Xenopus tropicalis: one gene and its partner. The protein of the gene in region 1 binds, or shares a complex with, the protein of each later gene. Links are inferred from orthologs where the notes say so. Each region holds a gene or a part of one and is shown in the gene's direction. Other genes may lie near its edges.

Region 1 (3,486 bases):
TGCAATTGTCACAAGAATCTCCTTGTGACAAACCAGTCACAAAAAGGGGGAACACACTCTACCTTGCAAGGCCTAAATATGGAGTTGTTTCAATTTCCCTGTTTAGGTAACAACAACCCATATTTTGTGATTGTCAATAGGCAAAAAGTATGTTCAGCATAAGTATTATTTATTAAACTCACTTTGAACAAGAGGAGTCAGGAATTTGACAAATAATTACAATTGCGTAATCTCCCCAGGCTGCTTCAGTAAAGACCAAGTCTATCTTGATGGAATACTGCGCATTCTGCGGCACCGACATACCATCGATTTTCGCCTGTTAACTTCCCTTGGAAAGGTATAGTAAGATTTAAACTACCTCATCATGACTATTTTGTCATTCCAATTATAAGCATCACTGAGGTTGATGGCACACAAGGAGATTTGTCATTTGTAGGAAATTTGTGTGAGCAACAAATCTCCTGAAAACACCTTAGCATTTGCGTTAGCATGAATTTCCAGTGGTAAAACACATGAATTGCATTACCACCTGAAACTGCCTTCTCCAGCATCTTTCAGAGGTGATGCAATTCATATGTTTTACTGCCGGCAATTCTTACTGACATCAATGCTAAGGTGTCTCCTTGTGTGCCATCACCCTTACAGTCTGTCTAGTTAAGTGAGGAGCCCTTATTTTAAACAAATTCCTTTCTTTCCCCAACTTTATAATTTCCAGGGGCTATATCTCACATGGTGTTTTTACACATTATTACAAAAATGTGTGTACATCCGCAAGGTATATTTCTAAATTGCTCATGTTTTTTTCTACTTTCCCATAAACCTTTGTGCTACAAACCATGACATCATTATGTCAATCCAAGCTTCATTGTGTACATTACTGTTACAATGTGTACATTACTTAATAACATAATGTGGAATAACTACAAACCATTTATAGTGATGCATAATTAAGCACTGTATATATTGTTAATGCTTTGCACCAAGATGCCTACCGTGAATCAGAACCAAATCATAGTCCTGTTGGCTGGAAAGAACAAAAAAAATAAAAAAAATTTCCCAATTAAAACAATACATATAATGTGTGTTAAACACATGCCTTATACATTGAACTAATGGTAAAGAAAGGGGTATTATCATATAGATTGTAAGCTTTGTGTGCAGGGACCCCATCCTCTTGTTTCTAAACTTGTTGCAACTGCACCTTGTATTTATTTGTATCCAATGCCATACTTTGTATTTATCTATTATTGTAATAACTTCCTGTTTGTTGTATTAATTTCCACTGTACAGTGCTACATAAATAAGTAGCACTTTATAAGTAAAGATATATACAGTATATACTTACATATTGGCTTAAAGTATATATTTCCAAGCTTGGATTGGAAAAATTTTTCGTAAATTGTCGCAACTTTTTCGTAGCCATTACGACTTGCTCATAAATTGTCGCAACTTTTTCATAGCCATTACGACTTGCTTGTATATTGTCGCTACTTTTTCGTATTGAGCGCTCGTAAACGGCGGGCAAACCTTTGCGACTTTGCATGATTTTGGAAGCCTCCCATAGGACTCAATGGCACTCTGCAGCTCCAACCTGGCCCAAGGAAAGTCACGATACTGAAGCTTGAATGAATTCGAAACTTTCGCACTCGGCACGACGGCTACGAAAAAGTCGCTACAATTTACGAGCAAGTAGTAATGGCTACGAAAAAGTCACGACAATTTACGAGCAAGTCATAATGGCTACGAAAAAGTTGCGACAATTTGCGAGCAAGTCGTAATGGCTACGAAAAACTTGCGACAATTTACGAAAAATCGCAAAATACCGATCATTACGAAAAAAACGCATTCGGACTCTTTTCGGACGTTCGTGGATTAGTAAATGTGCCCCTAAGTAATGCCTGACTATTCTACTTTGTTGTTTGATGAGGAGGGTTTTATTGCCTTCTTTCTTAGGTATCCTATGAGGATGTAGATGAGCTACAGAAGTTTGCCGAGCTAGATAATATTCGGATTCCTCACTTTATGCAGGATCTGGAGAAATACCACCATCAACTTCGGCACATCATGGAAACAAACCAGCTTACTGATGAGGAGCTGCAAGCTTTACTACCTAACTGATGAGGGCAGAATGCTGTCTAAAGCAACCCCCAGTCACAGCAAGGGCTAAATGGGTTATGGCTACGGGATTGGAGGAGAATTGTGTTTTACTTACAGTATACAGTATGTATTGGGAAAGTAGTAGGTGTTTCTGTAACAGTGAATTAGAAGATTTGATGCACTGTTATATAGTAAATGGGAGTAATGGGGCACAGTGCACTGTGAAACAGAACTGTTGTGCAGAACAGGAGTAAAAGGAGGACCAGTCTAATGAGCACAATTTCACATTGCTAAAGTGTTAATTAATGCTCATGATTTCATTTCTTAGTGATGTGTGCACGGGGTGAATGATTTAAAAGTAAAGAGTAAAGGCCCAGTTCTACATGCACTCATTAGCTTTTTAGGGCATAGGCTTCTGTGCCCCTTCCCACTGCTAGCAGTGTCCTGTGTCCTATTACATACCTTCTATGATCCTTAGGACATGGCCCTACTTTTTTCATGTTGCATATACTCATGTGCTGCCCATTGTGTACATCAGGGACCGTGCATCCTGAGCCAGTGCATTGTCCCTGTGTGCAACAGAATATAAGTTTTGAGTGCACAAAATGCTTTAACTTAAGTGACTTAGGGATATTGGCCATGGGAAGTAGCACAGCAGGCCCTTACCCTAACAGTATTAAAATGAGGTGACAATTAATCATGCCCTCAGTTTCCTTTAAATGACTGAGTTAATGACTTAACTGCATGTTTTTAGGAATAAAGCAGCAAGTTTTAAAACATCCTATACATTATAAGTAATATTTCTTAATTGTGTGTTTTTGTTTTTCACCTGTAAATATTATTTAATAAAATGTAAAAAGAACCACCTTCTTACATTCCATGTGATCATTGTTTGTAATTTTGTGAATAATGATTTAGGGACCATGTCTTACCTGCACTCTCACAGGCTGGTCCATCATTGAATCAATAGGGCAACATTCATTATAAATAGCAAAAGATATTGCCTTCAGGTAAGGAATTCCTACATGATACTTTTTTTTCCATTTATTGCTTAATAGGAGGAAGAGATGCCGGAACACACACTGAAGGGTTGAACATGATGGATAGTTTCCTTTTTTACTATGTAACTTTGCAAATGCAATTTGCTTTTGTCACAATAGTATTAGTATATACACTGCTCAAAAAAATAAAGGGAACACAAAAATAAGACATCCTAGATCTGAATGAATGAAATATTCTTATTAAATAAGCAGCAGAACGTTCTCCACGGTGTCTCCAGACTCTGTCATGTCTGTCACATGTGCTCAGTGTGAACCTGCTTTCATCTGTGAAGAGCACAGGGTGCCAGTGCCAAATTTGCCAATCTTGGTGTTCTCTGGCAAATGCCAA
Region 2 (4,346 bases), on another chromosome or scaffold:
CACAGCATGAGCCGAAGTGCTCAGCTCCAGCCAGCGCATCCCGCTGTCCTGGATAGTTCAATGAATGTTCTGCATTTCCGTAATGCGGGACATTCATTGAACTATCCGGGACAGCGGGATGCGCTGTAAACACTGGGACTGTCCTGCGAAAAGCAGGACAGTTGGGGGATATGTCTATGGTCTAGGCCAGTGATCCCCAACCAGTGGCTCAGGGGCAACATGTTGCTCACCAACCCTTTGGATGTTGCTCCCAGTGGCCCTAAAGGAGGTGCGAATTTTTGAAATCTGGGCTTTATGTCAAGTTTTTGTCGTATGAAAACCAGGTTTACTGCCAAACAGAGCCTTCTGTAAGCTGCCAGTCTACATAGGGGCTACCAAATAGCCAATGCCAGCCCTTATTTAGCACCCCAGGAACCTTTTTCATGCTTGTGTTGCTCCCCAACTCTTTTTATGGCTCACAGGTCAAAAAGGTTGGGGATCCCTGATGTAGTCTGAGTGCTGGTTTTGTATTTCCCAGTATAAAGGACTAGCTGGCAAGCCTGACTGCCGCACACTGTGGGCTGTGGGTAGGTCTGAGTATTACACTGGGTCAGTGCCAACGTCCTACTTAAGGTGCCGCATTTTCTATCTGCAAGATCAGCTTCCTTTGCCGCATTCTAGACTATATTCCCATAGAGACGAACCATGTCAGCACGGGGGTGGGGGGAGAAAGGAAGAGCGCACTTTTATTAACCCTGTAGCTACAGTGACGCCCCTGCAACCCGCCGTCCGTTCCATCGCAGCAGCTACTGGGCCTGCAACCCCCAATGATTTGCAGTTCCGCTACTGGAACCTGTTGGCACGCCCGATCCCGGCCCGTCCCCTGACTGGAATGTCCCGCATCCCCCAGCAGTGGTACATCCCTGTGCCAAGCAGATAGCATTGTATGTGGATAATGTAGCGCTGCCCTCCTTATACCCTACCCTTATAATCAGCCGTGAGTTAAAAAGCATTAGTTTATCACGCATTGAGCTTTTAACACAAGGATATCCTCCTCTGTGGGATGCTGAGATTAACTATTAGCCAACTGCTGGGGAGCTGCGGGTTCCATATTCCCGCGGTCTTTCCCATCAGGATTTGAGTAAAATGGAGCCGTTTCAGAATTGACATTACAGCGGTGTTGTTTGTAACTATTGCGCCTCACTGCGAATATATTGTAATCCGCCGTAATAAGGATTATCAGGAATTACAGAGGCCCAAAATAACCGTGAGGGATGAGTCGGCCATTTTACGCCAATAAAACTCAGCGAGATGAAGAGGACCAAAAGCTCCCGCCTCCTCCGTTCGTACAAGTATCTGAGGCGCTCAGCCAATCACACAGCAGCCGCAGCTTATTAACATAATACAGCAACGCGTCACCGCCCATGGAGTATAAAAGGCACAGTCGGCTCCTCTGCCTCCCATTCTGTTACTTACATCCACTCTTCATTGTGGGATAAAGTAACGTATTTTATTTCATTTTTTAAATTTTTTTCTTGTTTCTTCGTTGACTTTTAACCATGGTAAGTAGCCTTTATGTTTTTTTTTTTTTTTTATCCATGGCCTTAGCCATTAAAATGATAGCTTGTCCACATCTTTTTCTGAAAAAAAAATAATGAACAGCTGGGCAAAGGACGACGTGGAAGGGAATTCCTCTAGTTGAGGGAATACCTTGTTCTAGTTTCAGCGCTGCTGGCTGTACGTAAGTACTGAATGGAAGGGATTGGGATGAGGAGAAGCTCGGATGGAACGGGTCTTCCCGCGCTGATAGCGGCGCGCTTTGTGCTGGTCTGTGTGTGTGTGTGTGTCTGTGTGTGTGTCTGTGTGTGTGTGGGCGCGATGCCCCGGCCTTATATACTGCCTGGGGGGGGAGTCATAGTCAGTGCAGATTGCTTTCAGTGATAACTAGAACAGGCTAGTGCTCCCCAAACTCTTTGCCGCAATAGCCTCACACATATCTAGGCGATCTAGGGAGTAAGTGATTTAGGGCTATAATAATAATAATAATAGCCCCACTAGGCTGGACCTTCTGCCTGAGACTGACAGTACCTCTGTGTCACCCAGGGGAAAACGTTGCTAGAGAGCTTTGTAATCAGACATTGATGTAACCTTGAGTGCCATGTTAGTGATTTCCATAACCAAAGCAGGAGGCAACATATTCCTGTTAAACAAAATAAAACTAACTGGCCTAACTAGGGTCTGTACACTTGAAAGAGATGCAATTTGCAGTAACTTTAGATCCCCCTAAAACAGGTTAATCAATAAGTATCCTTCTCTTGGACCTGAGTTGAATGTGTGTAGAGGTGGGTACATATGCGATATAGTAAAATTAAACCTTAAAAGGACAGTGGAGAGTAGGGTAAAATGAATGGCAGGCTAGGTATGTTTGTGCTGAAATGGTTCATTCACATAGCGGCTGATATATCCCGGCACATAATCATTTCCCTAGATGTGGCTTTGACAGATGTTCTAGCAAATGTTTCACATATTAGCATTCCACAAATGTATTTCTATACTATTATGAGATTGCAGCTGCACTATAACAGTTTTTGTGCGGAATGCCTGAAGGCATGTGCAGAAGCCGAGTGACTAGACAGCAGCTGCCGGGTGTGGAAAGCAGCAATGCCAATCAGTTGTTGGGCAGGGGGCGGCTTTTGTGAGGTAATCCTGCTTTAGCGGAAAGCCGGTACATGTTCTACTTTCATGTTGAAAGGGGCCGACACATGGATTGTGGGGGGTGGGAACAGCTTGTAGGCTTCTGCCTGCAAACGTGGAAGTAGTGTCAGCTGATGGCTATGGGTGTGTAATCTGCACTGCTGGTAGGTTTTCTATGTCATATCTGGCAGTCGGGTTAGCAGGCTTGTTTGCACTTTCACATGACAAATCATGTGAGGGGGTAGAGATGTGGGGGCTATTGACTCCAGAGTCCAAGTAGTGCGGTAGAACATAATCTACTGGTAAATAATAGCTGGACTGCTTTATTGGTAATACATGGCCATTTTTTGGCTCTTGGCTAAGGTACCCAGTATGCAATCTAGAAAAAACTCCTTATAGGAAATGTATTTGCTAGGATGGTGGCTGAATGACGACCTGTGGTCTTTGTTGCATACGTGTGTGTGTTTGTGAACACATCAGAAGCCAGTTATCTACATGTATTAGTGTGAAAGGAAACCCAAGCAGAGAATATTGCAACGCCTTGCATTTCATTTTGTTTGATTTTAGCCATGGTACTGAGGACCCTAGTGATTGTCTCCTTCCATCACTGATTTTGGGAATAGATTCTGTACTCACTTAGCAAAACTGTGTTTCTCTATGTATTACATTTTTTTTTTGTTTACAGCGTGAGTGCATCTCTATACACGTTGGCCAGGCTGGTGTGCAGATCGGCAATGCCTGCTGGGAACTGTATTGTTTGGAACATGGCATCCAACCTGATGGGCAGATGCCCAGTGACAAGACCATTGGAGGAGGGGACGACTCCTTCAACACCTTTTTCAGTGAAACTGGAGCAGGAAAGCATGTCCCCAGAGCTGTGTTTGTTGACCTGGAACCCACTGTCATTGGTGAGAAAACAACCAAGGCTGTTTAATGTTTCTTTGTATATAATAGAATTGTACATATATGACCCCTGGTATAATATATATTTCATGTCAGTATGAAGTCCATGACCACAATAGACACAAGGCCAAAGGCAGGGTGCTTTTTATGCAGGTCATAAAACTCAGGGGTGGCTTCTAATCTCAGGGGTTATTGAGTGGCCAATTTTCTTTATTTTTTGCACAAATTACATCACAAGCACAGACCTATATAATTTATTGTATTTATTTTTTTTTCCTTTTGCAGATGAGGTGCGCACAGGAACATACCGTCAGCTGTTCCACCCAGAGCAGTTAATTACCGGAAAGGAGGATGCTGCCAATAACTATGCCCGTGGTCACTATACAATTGGCAAAGAAATTATTGATCTAGTACTGGACAGAATCCGCAAACTGGTAAGCATTCAAGTTTATACAAATGCAGAAAAGAAACAACTTATTAGCGCGGTGTCTCCATAGCCTACGATTGCAGGCTGAATTGTACTTGCTGTAACAGTACTAATTATATTTCTCTTGGAACAACTGGTTTCAGATGCAATGTTTATGCTATCTAAAACATGCCGGTGCATTTCATGCAGAAGTGCCTATTAAACATTTTACCTTTTTAAATGGGTGGAAGGCAGGGTAGTTTTGGTTTGAAATAATGTAGCAAAGAACATTCACTGTTAAGCAATTTACCTATGTTTGAAGAATTACTGTCAGTGTGGCAGTGAACTGAAGTCACAACATCTC

Evidence for each region.
Region 2: the proteins of kiaa0895l (region 1) and tuba1b are in contact, whole or in part, in a cryo-EM structure (PDB 7Z6S), measured with the Homo sapiens proteins. The link is inferred for Xenopus tropicalis from reciprocal best matches to the Homo sapiens genes MATCAP1 and TUBA1B. Residues at the interface, in NP_001035805.1 of Homo sapiens: Lys219, Cys220, Trp223, Val226, Arg227, Gly237, Glu238, Val239, Val240, Val241, Gln242, Leu243, Met253, Met254, Val255, Glu256, Asn257, Ser258, Arg259, Pro260, Thr261; in NP_006073.2 of Homo sapiens: Asp345, Trp346, Arg422, Glu423, Ala426, Ala427, Glu429, Lys430, Asp431, Glu433, Glu434, Val435, Gly436, Val437, Asp438, Ser439, Val440, Glu441.

What each region holds. Positions count from the first base shown.
Region 1 is NC_030680.2:76,349,655-76,353,140, reverse strand, and holds the end of kiaa0895l (uncharacterized protein KIAA0895-like homolog), read left to right. Parts: intron 1-239; coding exon 240-337; intron 338-1,953; coding exon 1,954-2,118; 3' UTR 2,119-2,963; downstream 2,964-3,486. UniProt on the Homo sapiens protein: Tyrosine carboxypeptidase that removes the C-terminal tyrosine residue of alpha-tubulin, thereby regulating microtubule dynamics and function. Also able to remove the C-terminal phenylalanine residue of alpha-tubulin TUBA8.
Region 2 is NC_030678.2:136,561,192-136,565,537, reverse strand, and holds the start of tuba1b (1), read left to right. Parts: upstream 1-1,462; 5' UTR 1,463-1,538; coding exon 1,539-1,541; intron 1,542-3,199; exon of another isoform or gene 3,200-3,242; coding exon of another isoform or gene 3,243-3,245; intron 3,246-3,358; coding exon 3,359-3,581; intron 3,582-3,861; coding exon 3,862-4,010; intron 4,011-4,346. UniProt on the Homo sapiens protein: Tubulin is the major constituent of microtubules, protein filaments consisting of alpha- and beta-tubulin heterodimers. Microtubules grow by the addition of GTP-tubulin dimers to the microtubule end, where a stabilizing cap forms.